Linked DNA regions of Canis lupus familiaris. The protein of the gene in region 1 interacts with the protein of each later gene in a biochemical or structural test. Links are inferred from orthologs where the notes say so. Each region holds a gene or a part of one and is shown on either strand. Other genes may lie near its edges. The genes, in order: PRKCB, RASGRP3 and RACK1.

The links.
Region 2: of the proteins of PRKCB (region 1) and RASGRP3, one has a biochemical effect on the other in vitro, tested with the Homo sapiens proteins (2 studies listed by BioGRID). The link is inferred for Canis lupus familiaris from reciprocal best matches to the Homo sapiens genes PRKCB and RASGRP3.
Region 3: the proteins of PRKCB (region 1) and RACK1 form a complex in vitro, tested with the Homo sapiens proteins (2 studies listed by BioGRID). The link is inferred for Canis lupus familiaris from reciprocal best matches to the Homo sapiens genes PRKCB and RACK1.

The regions. Positions count from the first base shown.
Region 1 is NC_049227.1:22,303,816-22,312,131, reverse strand, and holds the start of PRKCB (protein kinase C beta type), read left to right. Parts: upstream 1-4,056; 5' UTR 4,057-4,087; coding exon 4,088-4,260; intron 4,261-5,205; coding exon 5,206-5,237; intron 5,238-8,316. UniProt on the Homo sapiens protein: Calcium-activated, phospholipid- and diacylglycerol (DAG)-dependent serine/threonine-protein kinase involved in various cellular processes such as regulation of the B-cell receptor (BCR) signalosome, oxidative stress-induced apoptosis, androgen receptor-dependent transcription regulation, insulin signaling and endothelial cells proliferation.
Region 2 is NC_049238.1:26,745,671-26,752,555, forward strand, and holds the end of RASGRP3 (ras guanyl-releasing protein 3), read left to right. Parts: intron 1-2,186; coding exon 2,187-2,312; intron 2,313-2,644; coding exon 2,645-3,009; intron 3,010-4,621; coding exon 4,622-4,630; 3' UTR 4,631-6,545; downstream 6,546-6,885. UniProt on the Homo sapiens protein: Guanine nucleotide exchange factor (GEF) for Ras and Rap1.
Region 3 is NC_049232.1:610,053-618,360, reverse strand, and holds RACK1 (receptor of activated protein C kinase 1), read left to right. Parts: upstream 1-3,929; 5' UTR 3,930-4,049; coding exon 4,050-4,158; intron 4,159-4,442; exon of another isoform or gene 4,443-4,510; intron 4,511-5,099; coding exon 5,100-5,271; intron 5,272-5,573; exon of another isoform or gene 5,574-5,652; intron 5,653-5,811; coding exon 5,812-5,959; intron 5,960-6,173; coding exon 6,174-6,269; intron 6,270-6,688; coding exon 6,689-6,799; intron 6,800-7,234; coding exon 7,235-7,375; intron 7,376-7,747; coding exon 7,748-7,858; intron 7,859-8,183; coding exon 8,184-8,249; 3' UTR 8,250-8,291; downstream 8,292-8,308. UniProt on the Homo sapiens protein: Scaffolding protein involved in the recruitment, assembly and/or regulation of a variety of signaling molecules. Interacts with a wide variety of proteins and plays a role in many cellular processes.

The DNA.
Region 1 (8,316 bases):
GGGGAAATTAATTTTAGAAATCTGCTTTAACCCAATATATCTAAAATGCTATAATTTCAACATGCAATAAAGATAAAAGTTATTTATGAAATATTTTACTTTTCATTTTAAATACTTGATATTTTGGGATGTATTTTACACCTACAATCACATCTAGTTCAGACTAGCTACATTCCAAATGCTTACTAGCCACATGTGGCTGGTGACTACTATACTGGAGAATGCAATCTTGGAATGAAAGATTTGGAAGGCAAACTACTACATCTCTGCCCCATTTTACAGAGAAGGAAAGTAAGGCACAGAAGGAGGAAGTGACTTGTCCAGGGTTATTTACTGTTGTGGATTGAGTAATAATGCCTCCCACCCCCAAAAAAACCATGTCCATGTCCTAATTCCTGGGACTTGTGAATGTTATCTTATTTGGAAAATAGTTTCTTTGCAGATGTAATTAAGTCAAGGATTTTGAGATGAAGAGATCATCCCAGATTATCTGGCTGAGCTCTAAATCCCATGACCTGTGTCCTTGTAAGGGATACACAGAGGTGATTAGACAGAGGACTTGAAGAGAGACATAGCGAGAGAAGTTCATGTGAAGATGGGGGCAAGGATGGGGTTGATGAGGCCAGAAGCCAAGGAATGCTGACAGCCACAGGAACTTGAAAGAGGCAAGGAAGAAGTCTTCTCTGAGGCCTCCAGAGGGAGTGGGGCCCTGTAGACATCTTGATTTCAGCTTTCTGGCCTCCAGAATTGTGAAAGAATAAATTTCTGTTGTTTTGAGCCTACCTGGTTTGTGATAATTCATTAAGGTACCCCCAGGAAACTAACAACAAAGGTGAAACTTGGATTTAAGAGATCTTGGACTCCATTCCTGGCCAGAGCAACATGCCTCCCCACTGCCTCTGAAATCTTTCAACTGGCCAGAATTCATTCCTTTATTAGCAGAGTTGATGGTGCAGGGGTCTGGTCACCTAGAGAGCCCCTGACAAATCTATAGGGAGCTACTGTCCTTTAGAACCATGTGGCACCATGCTGTGTTGTCACCATCTCTTACTTCATCTACTTCAATGATCTCAACCGCTTCTCCTGCTTCTACTCTATTCCCTCTTTAATCTATTTTCCATACAGTATCTGGAGTAATCTTAAAAACAACGACAACAAAAACAAACAAAAAAACCCCAAGCAAGTCATCAGGCCACTTCTCTATTCTCAACTGTCCAATAGCCTCCCATTCACTGGAATGAAATCCAAACTCCTTCCAAGTCTACGATGACCTGCTACCTAATTGATCTTGTCTTGTACCCTTTGTCTCTCCTCTTTCCACTCCAGTCACAGAGGCCTCCTTGCTACTTCTCCAACATGCCAAGCCCTCCTTCTCCTGATCCTTTTGCATTTGCTTGTTTTCTCTGTCTGGAACACTCTACCTTCAGGCAGCCCCATGGCTCACCCTCTCATTTCATTCAGGTCTTTTCCCTTTATGAGAAAGGATATCCCTGTCTGCTGTCACTTTTCATTCCTTTATCATGCTTCATTGTTCTTTATGGCATCAATTTCTACACCACCTGGTACAGATTTGTTAGTTTATTTATTAGGTTATTGTCTATCCTCCCTATTAGACTGTAAGTTCCATGAAGGCCAGACCTTCTGTCTGTTTTATTTAACAATGTGTGGAATAGCATATTGCAGGTGCTCAATAAATTTATTGCTACATGAATGAGTGAATGCATGAGTGAGAGGAGGAATGTAGATTCCGTGTAACCATATCCTGCTTCCTAGAGAAGTCAGAATCTCAAAATTTAGGTGAAATTCTACCGAATATGAACCAAAAAAGTATTTGCTTGGCTGGCTAAAAAAAAAAAAAAAAAATGCATCCAAGGGCCACCAATTTGAGACTCCTGCTCTAAGGGATCTGGGTCCAATGGCAACTATGTTTCCTCATGCTCAGATGGTATAGACCCTCCAAGAATCCAGTATTTCTTTGGGATCCACCAGCCCTTGCATCTCTAGGCTCTGGCCCCATGAGGTGCTGTTTGTTGTTACAGAGCAAAGTCAACCAGTGCACTTCGTTCAAAAGGCAGGATGTGGGCTGCAAGCTTCCAGCTCATCGGTTCAAAGGAAATCTACTTCAGCAGAGATGTCTCCTGGGATGTTTCCCCAAGCCTCCCAGATTGGCAATGGGGCCTCTTAAAGGACTAATAATAGACAGGCACGTCCAGTTTCCAAAACATGTCAACCTTAAAAGTGAAGGCTATTTTTTCCTCCTTACCTTTGAATTACTATGCAGCAGAGGGACATTCTATTATCACAGCTGCTGCTCTCCACATGCAGCCTAATAATGACTTACCACTCAGGGGCTTCCAGGTGAAATCGTCATAGTGGGACCTGAGCTTCATTAGGCAGAAGTTCTGTGTAGCTGCTTCAACTCCACCCTGCTCTCCTTCACGCCTTCATCACGAACGTACTTTGTAGTTTAGGCTGCCCTAATCTCCATTCGACAACACTGGGACTCTGGGTGCACATATTAATCACTCTGAGCCTCACTGTCTTTATCCATAATGAAAATTCTGGACTTACATGGGGTTGTTGTGGCAAGGACTAAGTAATGCAGTGGAGGTACCGAGCGCTTGATGTTTATTATTACCGAACACCTACAGGACATGGTGAGAGGCAAGGGGCAATGTCCTTTAAGCTTTCATTCACTCACTTATTCACACAGTCACTTACTCATTCAACAAACATTTACTGAGCTTCGAGGAGGTGTCAGGCATGGAGCTTGGCTCTGATGACACAATGGTGAGCAGTGCCTGCTCTCAGAAAGTAGATCTAGTGAAGGAGTTTATAGTCTAATGTAGTGCTGTGTTCCCAGACGGTGGGGTATGGGGGGTGCAGATATTGAGACACAGTAGGGCGCTACATCACACTGCGTTATCTACTCATCTACACAATTATCATTCTTTTGGTTACCTTTCCATCCTCCCGATTCCATCCAGGAGAGCGTCCCGGTGGATATGAGTGTGCCGTTAGCATCTTTCTAATATTTGTTAATGTCAGTCTCTAACAGATAAAAGAAGGCTTCAGATGCAGATGCTTTGGGCAGGTGGCAGCATCTGGAGAGATTGTACTACTACGGATATCTTTTGCCATTCAAACTAAGAAACCAGAAAGACTTTTTTTTTTTCTTTCCTTTCAGATGGTGCACAAATACGACCAGCGTTTGTGAAGATGGGTCCCCTCACCAGCCCCATTTTACAGTTGAGGAAAGTGAGTCTCTTTGGGGATGGGATGGACAGACGGTATAGGGAGCTCTCTTTTAAATGTTGGGCAAGCAAAGCCAAGAATGGCCTTTGTGGCGGAGATGTATACCTACCGATATATAAACTAAGATTGCTCCTCCCCTACCTCTGCAGTACGTGTGTGCGTCTGTGTGTGTAAGTGTGTGGAGCCACAGGCCTTTCCGAATGAGTGACAGCGGGAGCCCATCCCTCCAGGAGACGCGTGCGGAATGACCAATGGGATGGATGCGGGGTGGACGGGCACCGGTCTCTGCAGAGGCCGGGTGGAATCCGTGGCGCCCACCCTCGCCACCGCGCACCCCCACCCCGAGTCCCCGCCGGTCCTTCCGCGGGGGGCGCCCTCAAGGTGCCCGTCCCGCCCTCCGCCCCTAGTGCAACCCCGGCGCCCCGCAGCGGGGAGGCGGCGGGCTCAGGTCCGGGCATCGCAGGCTGCGGGCCCCGCGCCGCAGCGCTGCGGCTCGGAGCGCTTCGCCTCGGGGTGCCAATATGCAAAGCAGCTGGCGGCGCTGGGCGGGGCCCGGGCGCCATGCAAATGAAGGGGGCGGGGCCCGCCGTGGCCCCGCCTCCCTCCCCCGCAGCTGGGGCCAGCGGTGCCTCGCGCAGCTGGACGAGCGGCGGCAGCTGGGCGAGTGACAGCCCCAGCTCCGCGCGCCGCGGCGGCCAGAGCGGCGCAGGGGAAGCGCCCGCGGCCCCGGGCGGCAGCAGCGGCCGCCTCCTCGCGCGCCTCCCGGGCCCGCCGCCCGCGGCCCCGCGGCCCCGGGGCCGGCACCTCTCGGCTCCCGCTCCCCGCGCGCAAGATGGCTGACCCGGCTGCGGGGCCGCCGCCGAGCGAGGGCGAGGAGAGCACCGTGCGCTTCGCCCGCAAAGGCGCCCTCCGGCAGAAGAACGTGCACGAGGTGAAGAACCACAAATTCACCGCCCGCTTCTTCAAGCAGCCCACCTTCTGCAGCCACTGCACCGACTTCATCTGGTGAGAGCGCGCGGCGCAGGGCACCCTCCCGGGGCCCCGGACGCCCGGGTGCCCAGTCCTGCGCCCCCCCTCCCCCCCCCCCCCCCCCCCCCCCGGCCCCCGCCCCGGCCCCCGCCCCGGCCGCGGGGCGCCTCCTTGCCCGGTCTCCCCCCCAGCCCCCTCGGGAGCGCCCCGGGGCCGTGGCGCGGGCGCCGGCTCTGCACCTGCTCGGAGCGCGGGGTGGCCGTCCCTGGCCCCTGGGGGGGCAGCGCCTCGAGTGCCCGCTCGCCGGGCTTCCCCGTCTCCCCGCCTCCTTCCGGGCCCGCGGCGCCTGTACCCCCTCCCCTGCTTTCCGGGGGCAGCGCCCTGGGTGTCCTCTCTCTGCCTTCCCGCGGGCGCGGGGCATCCTCTGCTCCCCTCCCGTGTCTCCCGCCTGGCGCCCTGGGTTATCGATGGTTGCGCTTCCCTGCGGGCCACGGGTCCCCTTCGCGCTCCTCAGTGTCCCCTTCGCGTTTCCCCTTCGCGTCCCTGCGGGGACTTTTCTCCCCCGTCGCCCTGGGCTGGGGGAGCCTTTTCTGTCTCCCCAGTTCCCCCAGGGAACTCCACCGCCTCGGGGTCTCTCTCTCCTCCTCCGTCTGGATCCGTCTGGATGCGTCTTTATCGCTTCTCGTTCCCCGAAGGTCCTCGGGCATCTCTGTGGGCAGACCTCCCGCCTGCCCCCCACTTCCCGCGACGGAACCGCTCCCCCCATCCCGCCACCTGGTGGTCGCAGCCTCCTTTCTTCTGCCTTCCGAGGGGAGGTGGGGGTTACCGCTCAGCTGCCCCCTTCCCCCAAAGGCGGAAGACTCTTGGGCACCCGCCTGCGGCTAGGAGGTTGCACCTGGGGTAGAGAGGCCGGGGAAGGGGGGAACTAGCCGGTGGCTGGGCCCCTAGGGCTGCCTGACGTGCCTCTTTCTGCCTTTGCAGGGGCTTCGGGAAGCAAGGATTCCAGTGCCAAGGTAGGCTGTGGGGCTCCGGGAATGCCTTTTGTGGAAGAGATGGTGAAAACACTTTCTAGAAGTGACTGAGTTAGGCAGAAGGCGAAGGACAGAGTGACCTGCCAAGCTGGGACTGTACCACCGCAAAAGGGCCCTTTGAAGGGCTGTGTGTGCAGGCAGTGATGCTCCATCCAGGAAAGGCGGGTGGAGCCAGAGGCCCTACCTGCCAAGGAAGAGCGTGCACCCTTTCTCCCTTCCTGGCAGCAAAGCGTCCAGTTCTGTCTCCTGAACCTATCCCGCTTGGTCAGTCTTGCTTCTGGAGCAAGGGTCCCCAGGGGCCATTTCTGGGAGGACGCCCTCCTCTCCCTAATTCCTGCTCACTCGCCCTTGCTCATCTCGCAGAGTGAGGTTCTGTCCCTTCCCCTGCTTCACAGAAGTCTCCACAGGTGGCTGCTGCCTCTGCATATGGTGCATCCCCTGGAAGGGTGACTGTGGGTGTCCCCTGGGCCTCCTCTCTCCCAAAAAAAGGTCACTCCAGATGGGGTGCTTCTCAGACATGGGTTTAAATCGCCCTTTCTATCTTCTGGCTGCATACAGGAAGGACTCCAAGTGACTGGCAACCTGGGTCCTTGCACCTGGTTCGAGGTCCTTGACCCTAGCCAGGGATGCTCAACCTCGTGGTGACTTTTAACCGTGTGCAAGGTGGCCTTGGCCGTCTCTGGTTGTAAATTCACCCTCCAGGGTCAAGTTGCCTATGGACCTATTTAGCCTTTGGGCTGTCGAACATTTTTTGAATTTGATGTCAACCTTTAGAACCGGGAGATTTTACCCAGATACTTGAATTTTCAGCTTCCAGTTTGCGAAGATTTGGTCCCACTTTCTTGTTGGAACAGTCATTTGGAGCTATTTTCATAGACGGGGCGTACATTCACCATTTCATCCCAGTCCTTCCCAGCTGGGCTTGTTTCACCAGTTTCTGGCTCCTGTAGACATTTGAGTTTGCAACTAATGTTCTGGAAATTTTTTTTCCCTCCCCAATTTTTGGCCAGATGTGGTTGAGTTTGGGGAGAACTGTCTCATTTCTGGAGTGTGTCGTAGGGGTACATTGACTGCCCTGGGGAACTGGGTTTGATCAGAAGAAAGCATTAAGCCTTCAAGAGTCAGAGATGTGACTTAGCTGTGTCTGTGGTGTTGTAGCACTCCACCCTCCAGGGAAAAGTCAAGTGATCCCTGGTGAGTGTGGGTGGCATTGTCAGTTGTACAGGATGCTGGCAGCATGGCACTGCCGTCTCAGAAGACTTGTAGGTTCCCTCCCTCACCTGAGATCCAGGGAAGAGCTGGCTCATCCAGTGAACCTTGCAGACCTGCCCAGCCTCTCTTACCAAGGAGTAGAACCCCAGTCTCACGCTCTGCACCAGAGGACTTCCCAAATCCCTTTATTATTTTTTTCAGCTTTATATACTCTTTTTAAAATTTTATTATTATTTTAAAAATATTTATTTATTTATTTGACAGAGAGAGAGAGAGAGAGAGCACAAGCAGGGGGAACAGCAGAGGGGGAGGGAGAAGCAGGCTCCCTGCTAAGCAGGGAGCCTGATGTGGGGACTCCATCTCAGGACCCCGGGGTCATGACCAGAGCTGGAGGCAGATGCTTAATGGACTAAGCCACCCAGGCGCCCCTATTGTATTATTATTTTAATCGAAGTACAATTAATTTACAATGTTATATTAGTTTCACATCTTCCCAAATCCCTTTAAAGTAGCAATAGCTTAGAATCTGTTGCAAACAGTTAGATTGTTTCCTAGAACTTTGGCCCCTAAAGCACAATACCAGTGGCATCTTAGTGCTGGAATGTGTAGATGATCTTTGAGGTTACCTTTCACTTTCATGAATGAGTTTCTGTCTTTGTCGCTTGCTGGGATTGGGGGTGAATTTTGAACATTTTTACTGCTACTTTTCCACCTGCTCTGTAGTTACTGATGCTTGGGGCAGGCACTCTGGAATGTGTAGGTGATAACAGGAGATCCTGTTTTTCAAAACCTGGAAAGTGGTAGGAATTTTCTGGTGTAGTGAGAGTACAGCGGAATTAAACTTTCTAATCAAATATGGCAACTTTAGAGGTAGACAGTACTTACTATTTTATCAGCTTTCTTTTTCTCTTCTCCCTGAGAGGCAGTGTAGGGTAGCGGGTGTATGTACAGGCCATCAGGCAGGTCACTGTGGTTTTGAATCTTGGCTTTTGGGACTTCCCAACCATCTTATTTAGCTCAGATTCCTTGTCTATAAAATGGGTCCAATAAATAGTACTTACTTTAAAAAGTTGCTGTGTAGGGGCACTTGGGTGTTTCAATTGGTTAAACATCTGACCCTTGATTTTGGCTCAGGTCATGATCTCAGGGTCCTGAGATCGAACCCGGATGTTGGGCTCCACACTGGGTGTGGAGCCTGCTTGAAATTCTCTCTTCCTCCCCTATCCCTCCCCTGCTGCATGCACATGTACTCTCTGTTTCCCCAAAAAAAAAAAAAAAAATCTTTTAGAAAAAGTACACCTGATTAAAATGAGTTCCACATTTTATAGAGAATATGTATGGTTTTATTCCTTCAGTTAAGTCAGCAGTCCAGAGCCCAGGGTGGGTCCTAGTTTCTTCCAGTTTTCAGTTCCACCATCCAGAAGTGACACTTATCCCATAGTCCAAGATGCTAGACTATCTAGTCATCACATCTTTATTTCAGCTAGCAGGAAGGAGGAAAGCGTAAAAGAAAGGCAAAGGCCATATGCTCACTGTCACTTATGGAAGTTGCTGCAAGATACTTCTGCCTATATGCTGTTAGCTAGGACTTAAGCTTAATCACACACCACACCTAACTACAAATCACACACCCACACCTAACTACATGAATGGACAATGTAATGTTAATTTCAGGTAGCCCTCTTTTGGGCTACAAGTTAGGGCAGGGAGTTCTTCCATTTCAAAAATAGAAGGGGAGGGGCATCTGGGTGGCAAAGTCCCTTGATCATCAGACTCTTGGTTTTGGCTCAGGTCGTTGATTGCAGGATCATGGGATTGAGCTCCGTGTTTGGTTTGTGCTCAACGTGGA
Region 2 (6,885 bases), on another chromosome or scaffold:
GCAAACCACCCTTATCAACCCACAGACATGTGGCCTCTTCACTAGGATGTCTTGTGAAACATCACACAGTTAGGGTGAGAATTTTGGAGTGGAAAAGGCCTAACTAAAATACCATATAAAAGAACTTTGTCCTTCATGGGAATAAGCACATACTCATTCCTGTAATACATATGCCTTTCTTTCTGCTCTCACATACAGCTAGCTATTCCTTTTGCCACTAAATCACAGATGATGGATGAAAAACAGATTTAAAGTTTCTCCTTAAAACTTATTTTTGTCCCTTTCAATGAATTTGTTCATATGGTTCCCCAATTAATTGAAGTTTATTAACAAATAAAGAAATATAACTTGATAAATGCAATATACATGCATATTAATAGGCACTTAGGACTCTTGACACTAGTGCCTATATGATCATTATATATTATTGATGTTTATTTTTAAATTTTATTTAAAGTCAATTAATTAGCATATACTCTTTTATTAGTTTCAGGGATAGAGTTTAGTGATTCATCAGTTGCATATAACACCCAGTGCTCATTACATCATGTGCCCTCCTTAATGCCTATCACCCAGTGACCCCATCTCCCCACCCGCCATATATTATTGGTGTTTAAATAAAGAAATTACTGGATAGTTTACTGATGGTTTTAAGAATCTGACAATGCTCTTGAAAGATATCACTACAAAAGAAAACATTTTCATTACAGAATGCTTTCAGATTAATACTATTGCCTTTTGGTGCCTTTTTTCCCTAGCTATCTTTTAGGATTTGGTCCTCATGTTGTATGAACAGAGTTTCCTGAAGCTCAATAGGAGCCACCTTTTCATCTCAAAAACCTTCCCTTTAGTTCTTGGTATTAGTTGTCTGAGTGTAACTTGGATTTGTACTTTCAAGCAGCAAAGATACAGCAAAGATATCTTACCACCTAGCTATAGTTTTATTCTGGTTTCTGACCCTTATCCTCTAAAGACAGACACACACACACATATAAACACACTTTTATGAAGATGAAAATCAATTAAACCCTTGGATCATCTGTGTATATACAGTATTTTCTCTTAAAGGCAAAAGAATGTTAAAATTAATTAAAATAGACAACATTTCATTATAATTTAGTCTTTCCATGCTGTCATTACAAGAGTATTTGAAATAAGATCATTTGAGGGGAAAGCGAGTATTGGAAAGAATTAGAAAGATCCTCTTTGATAGGGAGAAATACGCTCTTTAAAATGATCCTATCTGTTCATTTCTAAGAGAAATGTAGAACCCTCTATGGGAAATAACTGTGTTTCTCTTTTGCAAAGCAGCCCAAGTTTTCTACTCTAAGTAGCAATTTATAGTCTACTTTCTTAACTAAAGCATTCTAATGGGAGTTTTACAGAGTCTGCTGCCATTTCAAAGCCATAATCAAATCTAGAATATGTTATTGGGCATAAGCCCATCTTGTTTTCTGTTTCTATGCAAAGACAGGAAGCAGGAGATAAGATCCCTTGTTCTAGAAAAGATTTAGAGGGGGATGCCTGGTGGCTCGGTGGTTGAGCATCTGCCTTCGGCTCAGGTCGTGATCCTGGAGTCCTGGGATCCAGTCCTGCATCAGGCTCCCTGCAGGGAACCTGCTTCTCCCTCTGCCTTTGTCTCTGCCTCTCTCCGTGTCTCTCGTGAATAAATAAAAAAATATTTTAAAAAAATTGGAGGAATGAAGAAGAATAATAAAATGCAGGCAGATACCGAATAAAGGGATACCTGACTGTAAATGAGCGGAGGCAGCTGTTGGGCCTAGAAGACACTAGAAGTTGGGGTTTCTTTCCCTCATTCTGGCTCAAGGAGCCTCTTGGTGGAGCCTGGGAGGCAACCCCAGTCCCATGGAATTGGCATTTAGTTTGGGGCAAAGGCAACTCCCTGCTAGGTCTATGCCCTGCTGGTTTGCTCCCCAGCGCCTCAATGAATTGTGTAGAGGAAGAAGTTAAGCAAGTGTGAGAGGAACCCCGGGGAGGCAAGTAAGTCCCACTGGCCTTTCTCTGGTCCCTAGACACACTCTGCTGGCCTGAGTTGGACTCTGAGTCAACATGGAGCAGAGGAGGGGGAGGGCACAGCCAACAGCTCAGGGGCACCCTGGCAGCCCAGTCAGCACCAGGTGCACATGGTTGCCACTAATCGTTTGTGATACTTGGTGATTTTTCAGACTGTGGAGCCAATTGTCACAAACAGTGCAAAGACCTCCTGGTTCTGGCCTGTAGGAGATTTGCTCGTGCTCCCTCCTTGGGCAGTAGTCATGGGTCACTGCCTGGAAGCCCCTCATTGCCCCCAGGTAAGATCCTCTGCTTTCTTTTCTACCTCAATTTCCTTCTGCTCATCTTTCCATATTGGCCTTTCATTGGGTTCTGGATCTGAACCTGGTCAGAGTCATTATAAACACCCTACTTCAGGGTGAGTAGCTATGGCTATACCCTTGACTCCCACCTGCTTCTCTCTGCTCTCAGGTCTCACATCTATGCATTTCACCTGCAGGCAGTTTGGGTCCACCTCTGGTCTGTCCTTCTAGGGCCTTGCTCATCGGACTCCTGTGATTTGCACCAGCTTTGACAGTTTGCTCTAAAGCAATCAGATGTCAAATAATCACAACAGTCTCTCCTCTTCCAGTGCAGGATGAGGTGTTCGAGTTCCCAGGCGTGGCTGCAGGACACCGAGACCTGGACAGCAGAGCCATCACACTGGTTACAGGCTCTTCTCGCAAGATCTCTGTGAGGCTGCAGAGGGCTACCACCAGCCAGGCCACTCAGACCGAGCCTGTATGGTCAGAGGCTGGCTGGGGGGACTCAGGGTCGCATACCTTCCCCAAAATGAAATCCAAGTTCCATGACAAAGCAGCAAAGGACAAAGGTTTTGCCAAGTGGGAAAATGAGAAGCCCAGGGTGCAGGCTGGTGTGGATGTTGTGGACCGGGGTACCGAGTTTGAGCCTGACCAGGATGAAGCAGACGTGGGTGAGACCAGACAGGATGGTGAGGTCAGTTCTGGGTCAAAGCACAAGTAAAATCACAAGAAGGAGGCTAAAAGGGGCTGAGACAACCATTATAGTGAGTCCAGGAGACAGCCTAGTAGGTTTCTTTTTTTTTTTTTTAAGATTTTATTTATTTATTTGAGAGTGAATGAAAGAGAGAGAGAGGGAGAAGCAGGCTCCTCACTGAACAGGGAGTCCAACATGCGGCTTGATCCCCAGACCTTGCGATCATGACCTAAACTGAAAGCAGACACCCAATCCACTGAGCCACCCAGGTACCCCTAGCCTACTAGTTTTGAGAGCTGAGTGGTTGCACATTAACACATACCACTTTTCATCTTACTCTTGGCTTGTTATATGATCCCAGGCAAATGATTTCTTCTCTTTGCACCTCAATTCCCTAATATATAAAATTGAACCAGATGGATTCCAAAGCTTAGTGAGGCTGTCATTTCTGTGGACTGATATGATGTCCCAGGGATCCATGACTCACTGTGTGTATCCAATAGGCCAGTACCTGTATCAGTTTAGTTTTCCAAGCTAGAATCAGGGTAGGGGAGGGAGGGTGATGGGCAGTGGAAGCAAAAGACTTGCAGATAGAGAAGAAGAGTTGGAAACTTTTGCCCTTACCACCCCCAACACCTGCAAAAAAAAGTCTTTTGACAGCATCATGGAGAAGCAGGGGTGGTGAGAATCAGAGACATAGGAGCCTGAAGGTTCTATAAGCCAGGCCCTGGCTCCACATAAAAATGACATTCACATCATCCAAAGCAGATTGGAAGCATGTGGAATTTGTTAGAATAAGCTGAAAATATAAATTGATTCAAGTTAGACTTAGATAAATTTATTAGTCAACAGTCCGTAATGTATTAAGAAAAAAGATTTGGGGAAATCAGTGTCATATTCCTAACCTTTCAAGCCATGCCATGGAGGGCAGCCATAGCCTCCCTATGGAGTCGTTCTCATAAACAGAATTATTGGGTTAGGCAGAGAACCTATTGAATCAAGCCAGTGCTCTTTATTCTTATGGGTAGTCCTTCACATTCCGTTCTTTAGGGAGACCTAAATACACAGTCCCCTTGGTTTCCTGTGATGAGAAAAACTCCAGTGACCTTTAACCCAAATTCCTCTAGTTCTTTCCTCATTGAAGACAATTAATAAGGAGGCCAGAAATTATCTTAAGTCTTATGCAGTTTATTGTAAGTTTTGATATGTTTATGTATAGCTCTCTCTGCATATCTCTACATATACCTATATAGATATGTATCTTTTCTCTCATACAAATTTTCTCAGTGCTCTTACCCAAGTTTACATTGTGTTTTTCTAAGAGAGAAACCTCAACAAGAAATATTTCATAGACCAGTGTTTTGTGGAGCCCCTCTTAGGAAACATTAATGTAAGCAAACTTGTTGAATAAGATTTAAGATTTCATGTGCTGTGTAGAATACATGATCTTTTAATTCCCTCTAAATCTTAAGAGTACAAAGTGCTTGATCATTTGATCAAAGTGATCATTTCAGATGTTCCCTCAAATGTAACTGATAAACTGCTTTCTAAGAATATTCTTGTTTTATTAAGTGTGACCCAGCCATACAACAGGTTCTGATTCATGTTGCAGGATGGCTGACTTCAGGCTGAGGACACTGGAGGCAATGATGTCAGCATTTGGAAGGAGCAAGATGAGAAACTCTGAAGAACACTCCAACTCAGGAAGTTATCTGAAAAGATATCTGGGACTTTTACTGCTTGGTGACACCATGGGGTCTCCCTGATTGGACTATGGGACAGAGGATTTACCCTATGAACTATTTATTTCCTCCTTCCCAGGCCCTAGTCAGGTGCTACCAAGACTGGGTGATGTAGCTAGTAGATTTCTCCTGTATCTTTCTCTAGAGCCATTTATATATGAGTGAAGTGAAAGCTTTTCTGCATGTACTTGATACTCATTCTCTGAACTCTACTTTTTTTGTGAGAATATTATTTCAGTATTTTTATAAACTTTTGGTGGGGGAGGAGTCAATTTAGAGGTCTTTTTTTGTGTGCTTTTTGGATGGGACCAGGACTTATTTTCTTGAGGGGACAAAGAAAGCTCTTCAGATCCTGGAATGAGGTGGTTCTTCTAACGTAAAGAGATGTTTACATTGTTCTTACCCTACAGTCGCTGTCACAATGTGTAACAGGTCATACATTTATGTTCATATAAGTCTTACCAATTCTGCATCCTAAGGAAGCTATGACACAGCCATGAAAATCTCCTGATATTTATAATTGCTGTGGGGGAAAATTAAGTATACTTGTCTCAGCTGACTATGTTTAGCCATTTTTCTTAAGACTCCTGTTAAGACTGCCAGTAAGAAATGTGGATAGTGATTACAAAATCAATTAAAGTTTGGGCGGATAAAATTTAGGAGAGAAGCAAACCAACAAGCAAACCACTTAGTGAAATGAAAAACAACCAGCAATCTTTAAAAATTCAAAACAGTTTTAAGAACTTTGTTTGTTAAAAAAAGAAAAGTTTTGATTATAAAAGAGAACTTTTGTCCTCTTCCGAAGAAATTGCCATCCATAATTAAAGAGTAGTCATAGAAATCAAATCCTCAGAAACCTTTGATTAATATTTTATTTAGCTTTTAAGGTATCAGTATTTTTCAATGTCTCCCTTTGACCTACAGAGCTACAGGTGGGTCTGTTTTTTACATGATTAGAGGAGAGAGAACTTAGTTCAAGGTGTTCAAATAGAGATTGAATTGAGCCAGTGGACGAGGGGAGTGACCTGCTGCCATGTGGCCAGTGTGAAATTATGGCCCCACAGAAGTGCACTGGTCTTCATTGGAAGTTTAAATGTATAAACCATACAAGATTGAATTTATTTATATTTGGGGCAGTCACTTCAGTAAATAAATGCCTTTCTTCTCTTTTTCCATTAGATAAAATTAAGGACAGTTCTACTCAGCAAACACTTGACCACCTGCTTTAGGCAGGTCCTGTGCTAAAATGCACAAAGACAAGCAATATTTAATATCTACCCTTTAAGGAGAGATGGTTCCTTAAAGTACAATTCCAGATTTGCTAGGACAGACTTCATTGTGCCAAACAGATTGAGAAATTGATTTGCAGAAATATTGCGAATTAAATGAAGTTATTAGTTGAGGGTGCTTTGAACAAGCTATGTAATAAGAGAACTTGCTCACCATTTGCAAAGAACCTCAGAAAGCAAGCAGCCATCCCCAAGTGTTGGCTTTATGTATATATAGTATCTATTCCTCTTCCCAAATGCAATGAAATATGTGTTAACAAAATTAAAAATAGAAAATGACCATTTAAGTACCTTAAACATGTGTGTTTTTTTAATTTTAAGAAAATTCAAGAAGAAAATTTGGATTGTTCTTTTTCCTCTCAAAGCAATTATTTCACTCATCACTTAGTTTGGGTTATTTTTGAGTTTTCATATCTAAGAATTTTATATTGTCAGCCTTCCTATGATGAAGATAAGAAATGTACCTCAAATAAAAAACAAATAAATACAAACAAAGAAAACAAAACATGTATATGTGTGTATATGGGTATACATACACACACATGCACACACACACTAGTATTACAATTTTCTTGAAGAGGACTCTGTGTCCATAATGAAGCTGCTTTATAATTTTGATTATATTATTTACTCACAACAAGTGGTAACTCTGATGGTTCTAATCTGTCAGTTTCCCATTATCAGTAAGATAAGTAAATTAGGCAAACCCATGGTGAAGCAAAAAGAACTGTTATGTTTGGTCCCTCCAGGCCTCCCTTTTGTAGGTTTAATGGTCACCACCACCTTTTTGGTGAAAGGCAAAAGCAAAATCAGACTCTTAACAGTGACTATTATCAAGTCCCAGG
Region 3 (8,308 bases), on another chromosome or scaffold:
CTGATGAGGCAGTCCTAGGCTTCAGGACAAAATTCTTCAGCAGACAACTCCTTCCCAGTAGGGGCTCCCTGAACACCTTGGGTTTCACTCTCCTACCTTCCCATTTGAAACGATCCCCCAAACTTCTGCATGCAAACCACTCTAATACCTCTTCCCCATGGTGATCCCTCCACCTGAAACACCCTTTAAATACTTGGTTTTAACTATTCAGCCTATGAGGCTGGTGACCAAGGTTAGAATCTTCCACAACCAAACCCTGTACCAGCAACAGCATATGAGACAAAACAGACCAGTCCCTGACCTCAGGGCACTGAGTAAAGCCCTGACAGATTCAAATAAGGGCAGATTGAGTTAAGTTTGTGGAGGCCCCACACACCACACAATCAGGGCATGAAACAAGGAGCCTAACCCAGACTTGAGAGTCACAGAGGGTTTCTCTGAGGTACAACCTGAATTGAGACCTGAGGAAGCTTAGTTAACTAAGGAAAGTGGGGGTGGGATATAGTGGGCCTCCTGTGTGGGAGAGAACTGATGGAGGAATGGGGAGAGCCAGCGTAGCCATAAAAGGAGTATGGTGCCAACCATACTGAATCTACAGAGGAACAGCAAAATGAAGGGAAGACACTTGCTTTAGCTGACAGAGGCCCTGTAGTCTTGGCCGCAACCTTTTCCCTCAGCCCCTCACCTATCACCCACAACAGTACTCATCACTTCATTCAAGGGAAGACCTGTCTCACCTCCTGAATGCTGGCAGGAGGGAACAGAGGCCTCTGTTCCTAGAAGAGGTCATGGGCCTCTAGCAGGGAAACCAGAGGGGCTTCTCCCCGCTGTGCTGATCTTAGGGATTCCCAGCAGAAAAGGAATGGTGAGACAGACTTCCTTAGAAAAGAATCTCCAAATTCTCTTTTGGGATGTTTACCTTGTGTGGGAATGGAAGTGCTGCCAGTGGGGACATGGGAGAGGACAGGCAGCCCAGAGGACAGGCTGCCAGTGGGGACAGAGGAGAGGACAGGCAGCCCAGGGCATGGGACCAGTGGGTGGGGAACATACGAGAGGGGTGGCCTGGGGAGCTGAAAGAAGGCTCTGCAGAGTAACTTTCCCCAATTTCACCCAAGGTCAGGTGGAGCCCTCCAACAGATTTCTGCCTCCTAGAGGGAAAGATCAAAGACCCAGGATGAAAAGGCCCAAAGGCCGGACCCAGGCCTGCTTGGGCAGGCAGCAGACTACTGTGGAAAGCACAGGCTTATTCTTAGGATGCGTCTAGCAGCCAAGAGAAGTCAGCCCCCTGGAAAGGGCCAGGCTTGAGGAGTCCAGGTGGGTCCACATGCCTAGCAGGGAGCCTTGGGGCCCCAAACGGAAGCAGGCATGTATGGGGCTCAACTCCAGCTTGGGCTGAGAGGGAAAGGCTGCTGCTACATGCCATCCCTGCCCCTAGCTATACCCAAAGTGTCCCCAGAGTCAGGGTCAGGCCTCCCTCAATTCATGAATACCCCTCAGTGGTTTTGTGGCTTGCCAGAATCTTCTCCAAGAGAGGAGAGACCAGGTGGTGATGATTGGAGAAAAACTCCAAGGTGGAAAAGCCCAAATCCTACAGTCTGGTCATCTGGGAACTCCACTATATTCCATTTCTCCCTCTCCTCTGCTGACATTGCCAGATGGGTATTGGTGGGTTCCAGGGGAAAACCCGAGATTCCCCCCCTTGGCCCCAGAGGAGGGGGCACTGCCAGGGGCCGGTACAGGGAGACGCCCATGGAATTGCGGGAGGCCAAAGACACCTACAGAAATCTTGGTCTCTGTGGCCAGAGGACTCTGGGAAAGGGCTGCGCAGAGGTGAGCCTGGGGAGGACGAGGCTAGCCGAGGAACGGCCCCCTCTGGAAAGGGGCCTGGTGGTGACGAAAGGTCGAGTCCTTGAGCATGCGTGAGAGACCTGGGAGGCTTGTTTTAAACCTGTCCTCCTGGCCCTCTTTCAGAGATGTTGATTCCACAGGGGCTCCTTAGCAAAATTCAAGAATACAGAGAGCCAAATGAGATTTCTCGAGAGGAGTAAATATAATATGACTAACCAAGGATCTCTTGGGTGAAGGCAGGAGATGAAGGAACGCGTATTCTTGAACTGAGAGGAAATCCTCTGCATGTACAGGCCAACACAGGGGAGTGTTTGCTCTGTGCATTTCCACAGCGTGGAAATCTCTCACCTCTCTATTTGTCCCAACCGCCCAGGGCACTGGCACGACCCGAGCTATGAACAGTGAACTGGATACTGGTGTGGGTGAAAGTAAGGGTCTCCCATTACCAAAACAGGTCAGGGTTGGGGTCGACTTCGAGTTTAGTGTTAGAAGAAAAAGACAGCTAATTGGGGGTGCTACGGAGGCATTTAAATGACCTTCGCAACTGGAGCCCTTGAAGCCTACTCAGAACAGCAACCACCCTGAGGAGCCATGTTCTTTCCCCCAGACTGCGGGCCCTCTGTCAGCTGCCCCTCACGCCTATCTCACTGTTCGGTTTTCAGCACTTCCAACACCTCCAGGATGTTTTGCACTGAGCATCCCTGCCCCCAGAACCTTATCCTCCCGTGTATCCACAGGGCTGTCTCCTTCTTCGTCTCTTTGCTCCAATTTCCTTCCCCCTCACTCCATCAAATGTAAACTCCAAAAAAACCTGGTCCTCACCCCCCTCTTGCTCACAGCTGTATCCCTCAAGACCTAAAACAGGGCCTGGTACCCAAGAGGTGCTAAGTTTGCCTGCATTTATTCTGCCAAGCATTGTTCTGGGCCCTTTACCTACCATAACTCATTTACTCTTTTCAACACCATTTTGGGTGGGTACTATTATTTCCAACCTCATTTCACAGATATGAAACTAAAATTAATACATGTTACAAACAGAAAATAAATACTTATTATGTATAATTCCCCCCCCCCTTATTTTGCTTAGATGATAGCGAATGGTACCACCCTGGTACCTCTCCCCCTTCAAAAAATATGTGACAGGAGCGCTGCCTGCCAGCATCGTCTCTCAGTTATCAAGGAGGCACTACATATTCACGTACCATGCGGCTAAACAGGAGGCCGGTAGGCAACCTGGGAACCCTGATCCACGGTGTCCCAGGCAGGTGGAACCTCCTTAGGGGCACGTCTGGACTCCCCAGACCCGCAGACCTGCCTGAGAGGCGGTGAGGCTCAGAGCCCGCTTTCACTCGAGACCCGTAAGTCAGAACCCGGAGGCCTTTGCTCTCGGGGTCTCTGTCTCTGCGTCGGCTCTCCGCGCTCCTGCCCAGGTGGGAGCCGGGGACGGACATGCAGCCCACGGGCCGATTGTTCGTTCCTCCCCGGTTTTCCGCTCCGTAACCTGTTCCTGTGTTTACTTCTGCCTGGACTAGGTCCTTCCGGACAGGGAGTGCCTCAGCCAATTCCCTCAAAGCAAAAACCTCTCCAGGGAGGAGTTGCCCTCTGCGAAGGAAATCAGTCAGAGTTTACTGGTTCACCTAAGTACAGTGTATTTCAAAAACTGAATACCATATTTTTCATATTCCTTACCGTTACTGGCAGTTCTCACCTCGAAATTGAGCTCCCTCAGCCTGGCCCTCCAGACCACCAAGCGGAAAAGGCAGGGCTCGCGCTGTGCCACGTGGGGGCAGGGAAGGCGCCGGACGTTCCTTATGGGAACATGCTGTCTGTGCCCGTCCCCTCTTCGTCTTCTTATACATCACGCCTCAGTGGATGTTTGAGGGGCCTTTTTAAACACCTGGTGGAGTTGGTTTCAGAATGACTTGGCATGGCACTGCCAAATTATGTTGCATGGCGGAGGCGACCATAAAGTTTTGCCATTTCATCTCGCCTTTTGACTTACGAGGCGCCGCCATCTTAGGCAGGAGTGAATAACGGGGGCCGCCATTTTTGCTCGAACGGGAGGGTATTTCCGGTTCCGGCGGGGACCTTTTCCTTCTTTTCCTCTGGAGGGCCTTGTCGGGAGCGGCTGTGCTGCTAGTCCTTCTGAACTATCCATCTCCATCCTTGTCGCCGCGGCGACACTCGCTCTCGCCGCCGCTATGACTGAGCAGATGACACTTCGTGGCACCCTCAAGGGCCATAATGGCTGGGTGACTCAGATCGCCACCACTCCCCAATTCCCAGACATGATACTGTCTGCTTCTCGAGGTACGGGCTAAGGTGCGGGGCAAAGGATTGAGGGATAAGTGGGTTGCGCGTGTCGCTTGGCGACTTGGAATACTCCGTCCGGGTGTGAGTTGGGGCATGCGGACCCGGGCCACGGCCTCCGCTTGGATAAACCCGCGAACCATCCCCGCTTGGCAGAGACGGAGACCTAGGTCAGCTCGTGGTCGCCAGGAGGATTGCAGGGTTGGGGTTTTATTTCTTGCCCATCTTCTCGCAGATGTGTGTAGGTGTGTAGCTGAGTGTGCTCAGGAGATACGGGGTCGGGCGGAGCGGTGATGATGCCAACATGCCATCTGAGTACCTGTGCTGAGAACCAGAGGCTGTTTCTGAGCTTACGCCCGGCCCGTGCTTAGTGGATAGACTGCAAGAACTCCCCTCGTTTCTTTTCATTCACTGAACCTGGCAGCATTCGGAGGCTTCTTGTGCCTTTTGCTGGCCCCCACACTATTAAAAAATAGTCTGAGGCCAGGATCATGTTTGGAGAGTAATTGGAAAACTTGTTGTTACTAACACGTTTCAGTGAAAGCATCCAGTCAGGTAGGATGTAAAGCAATTTTTCCGAATGCAGCCATTAGTGATTGTAGGAATCCCACAGCCAAGCAGCAGTGTTTATGCTTTAGACCTCAGATCAGACTCCAAGAATTGAATTGATCTGTCAGAAAGGGGCATCCATAATATGCTAAAGTTCTGCACACCAGAGTTTAATTTTCATGGCATTGCTTAGTTCTACTTGAATCTTTTTTGAATAGCCAATCACCTTGGCCTTGACTAGTAACAGCTCACACCCTGTAGTTCTTCCCCCTTGAGAGTCCTTAATTTGTTACCTTTTAAGTCCACCGATGACACTGAGGGATCCTGGATTATCCAGTAGGTCAGCAAGTGGGCTGTTAACTCACTGAGTTTTCTTTTTTACCTCTCCTTAGATAAGACGATCATCATGTGGAAGCTGACTAGGGATGAGACTAACTATGGCATCCCACAGCGTGCTCTTCGGGGTCATTCCCACTTTGTTAGTGACGTGGTCATCTCCTCAGATGGCCAGTTTGCCCTCTCAGGCTCCTGGGATGGAACCCTTCGTCTCTGGGATCTCACAACGCAAGTAGCTGCTCATTTAACTCTGGGACACTGGGCAAAGGCTAGGCAAAAATGAGGTAGATGCTGTTGGGCGGTGGTTTCCAAGGGAGATTGAGGTTCATTGTGGGTACTTAAGGCAAGAAAGTACCTAGAAAAGGTAGTTGGGATTGTTTGGCTTCTATCCTTGCTGGTTTAATTAGTTATGCAGAATTGTTAGAGGAGTGGGCTGGTTGAGTTTTACCACATACTGTGGTTGGGAGTAGGCAAGTGTTGAACATGTTTTATCTTGGGAGCTCAGTACTTGGATGGCCGGGCATAATGAGCATCCCAGTGATGACAGATGACATTGTCAGCCAATCCCTACGTGGGAGTGAGGACATGTCCTGCAATTCTGAAGGGATACTCTCATATATGCTCAACCATGGGCCTGTTGTGATCAGACCTATGTCCAGGGTCATGTGAGTAATGGCAGCTCCAGTGAGACAGGAACAGACCAGGGAAACATTCTGATGTGGAAGAGTGTTTGAGGCATCTAGAGACTGACCACGTCCTCCTCCTCAGGGGTACCACCACACGCAGATTTGTAGGACATACCAAGGATGTGCTGAGTGTGGCCTTCTCCTCCGACAACCGGCAAATTGTTTCTGGGTCGCGAGATAAAACTATCAAGCTATGGAATACCCTGGGTGTATGCAAGTACACCGTACAGGTAACTGAAGGCACATGTAGAAACTTCTCTCCCACCCTTCTTAACCTTGGCTTTAAGGTGATTTTAAGCCTGGCCTGGACTCTATAAAGGGAGCTCTTGATATTAATGGTTTGGGTTCTAGGGTTGTGAACACTTCCATGTAACTGAGGGAAGGTGAGGTTCTGGTTTCATGGAGACAGGATACTTTCTCTAATTTCTTTTCCATCCTCTGCAGGACGAGAGCCATTCAGAGTGGGTGTCTTGTGTCCGATTTTCACCTAATAGCAGCAATCCCATCATTGTCTCCTGTGGTTGGGACAAGTTGGTCAAGGTGAGCTTGGAGCCAGGGTATAGGGCCTTCACCAGCCAGAATGTTCTCCCACTGCCTCTCAGGTGGTCATAGGATCTAAGTTTGAAAGCTTTGTCCCTCGGTTCACTTTTCCTGTTGCACTCTTCTAAGTACAGGCCAGTGGTTTTTGATATTTGGTCTGAAGTAGCTCATGAAGCCCAGTGTCCCTCATAAAGCAACACATAGAACATTTGTTACCTTTTTTAATCTTGATTGTCCCTTAGGTGACCAAGACAAATTCTTTTTAACATTTTTGTTACTGATAGAATGAAAAATGGTCACCCTGTCCTGGAATGCTTTTAAATTAAGTAAATCGTGCCTTTTTTGTCCTGAGCAGTCCTGACCCCAGTTGGTTCAGAGCCAGATTCTTCACCTTTTACCCTCCACCTTACCAAACCTAGGTATGGAACCTGGCAAACTGCAAGCTGAAGACCAATCACATCGGCCACACGGGCTACTTGAACACCGTGACCGTCTCTCCGGATGGATCTCTCTGTGCTTCTGGAGGGAAGGTATTCAGAAACTGGGAGTTTACTACTCAGTGAGGGACTGTTTTAAAAAGATATTTAAGATATTGAGGTAGCAACCAAGAATAAATATCTTAAGATTGCTTCCTGGAAATGACATAGATAAGGCATACTGTTTTAAAGAAAAAGATTGTTTTCAGTAAAGCTGGTTTCTTGAAACTGTTCTTTTCAGAACTGATTGTTCTTTTCAGAACTGATTTATTTAGAAGTTGTCAGAGACATCGTAGGGTTGGTGAGGTGCCCTGCATTAAAGGAAAGGCATTCAGAGATAAATATTGGTATTTGAATCATTCATTAGTTTTTGGGAAGTTTGCGGGGGAAGGGGGACTGTTAAGTAATAAAAAAAATTTTTGAGGCAGTTAAGATTAACAACTGCAATGGGTTTCATATTGCCCTGACTCACCTTTCCTGTCTTCCCAGGATGGCCAAGCCATGCTGTGGGATCTCAATGAAGGCAAGCACCTTTATACACTTGATGGTGGAGACATCATCAATGCCCTATGCTTCAGTCCTAACCGATACTGGCTATGTGCTGCCACGGGCCCCAGCATCAAGATCTGGGTGAGTGTGGGCTACAGTTAAGGCTGAACACCTGGCTGTACTCTCTGAGTCCTGGTAATGTTGTGATTTCCTGATCTGTCACTGCTGGGATTTGAGCTTTCTGAATACCTGCTAACCATGCGGCTAGCAGTGGAGATCCAGGAAGAGCAAGGTAACAGCTTTCCAAGACTGGGATCTGCAGTGGTGGCAGACACTTGTCTACTAAGGGGGATGACAACTTACTCAACTTCAGCACAAGTTGATCTAGACTGTTCTGGGGGCAGGGGGAGGCATTCCTGTATTTTAGGCTGTTCAGTAACATACTCAGCCTCTACTCCCAACTGGATGCCTGTAGCAGAGTCCCTCCTTATCCTGATTTTGCCCATTCCCCAGGACTTGGAAGGCAAGATCATTGTAGATGAACTAAAGCAAGAAGTTATCAGTACCAGCAGCAAGGCAGAGCCACCCCAGTGTACCTCTCTGGCCTGGTCTGCTGATGGCCAGGTAAGTGAGTCTCTGAAGTGACTTGGCTTCTACCTTTTCTCTCTTCCTTTATTCTTGGTGTGTCTTTGACATAAAGTAAAGTGATAAAATTAGCCAGGTTGATTTGGGAGGACCAGATTAACTGTCAGTGAACAGAGTACATGTTCTGGCATTGGAAGGAAAATTGATCGATCTAGCAGTGATTATTAATTACCTTCTCTTGGAATACATACCACCTACAACCTGATGGTTCAAGGATTGGTGATCTTAAAAGGCCATCTTTTTACTAGAAATGCAGAGTTCTGTGACTCTGACATGACCTGTCGCTGTCCTTTCTCCCTTGCAGACTCTGTTTGCTGGCTACACCGACAACCTGGTGCGTGTGTGGCAGGTGACCATCGGCACCCGCTAGAAATGATGGCAGAACTTTAGGAATAAAACATTGGTTTTCTGACTTGTTTGTTTTTCTCT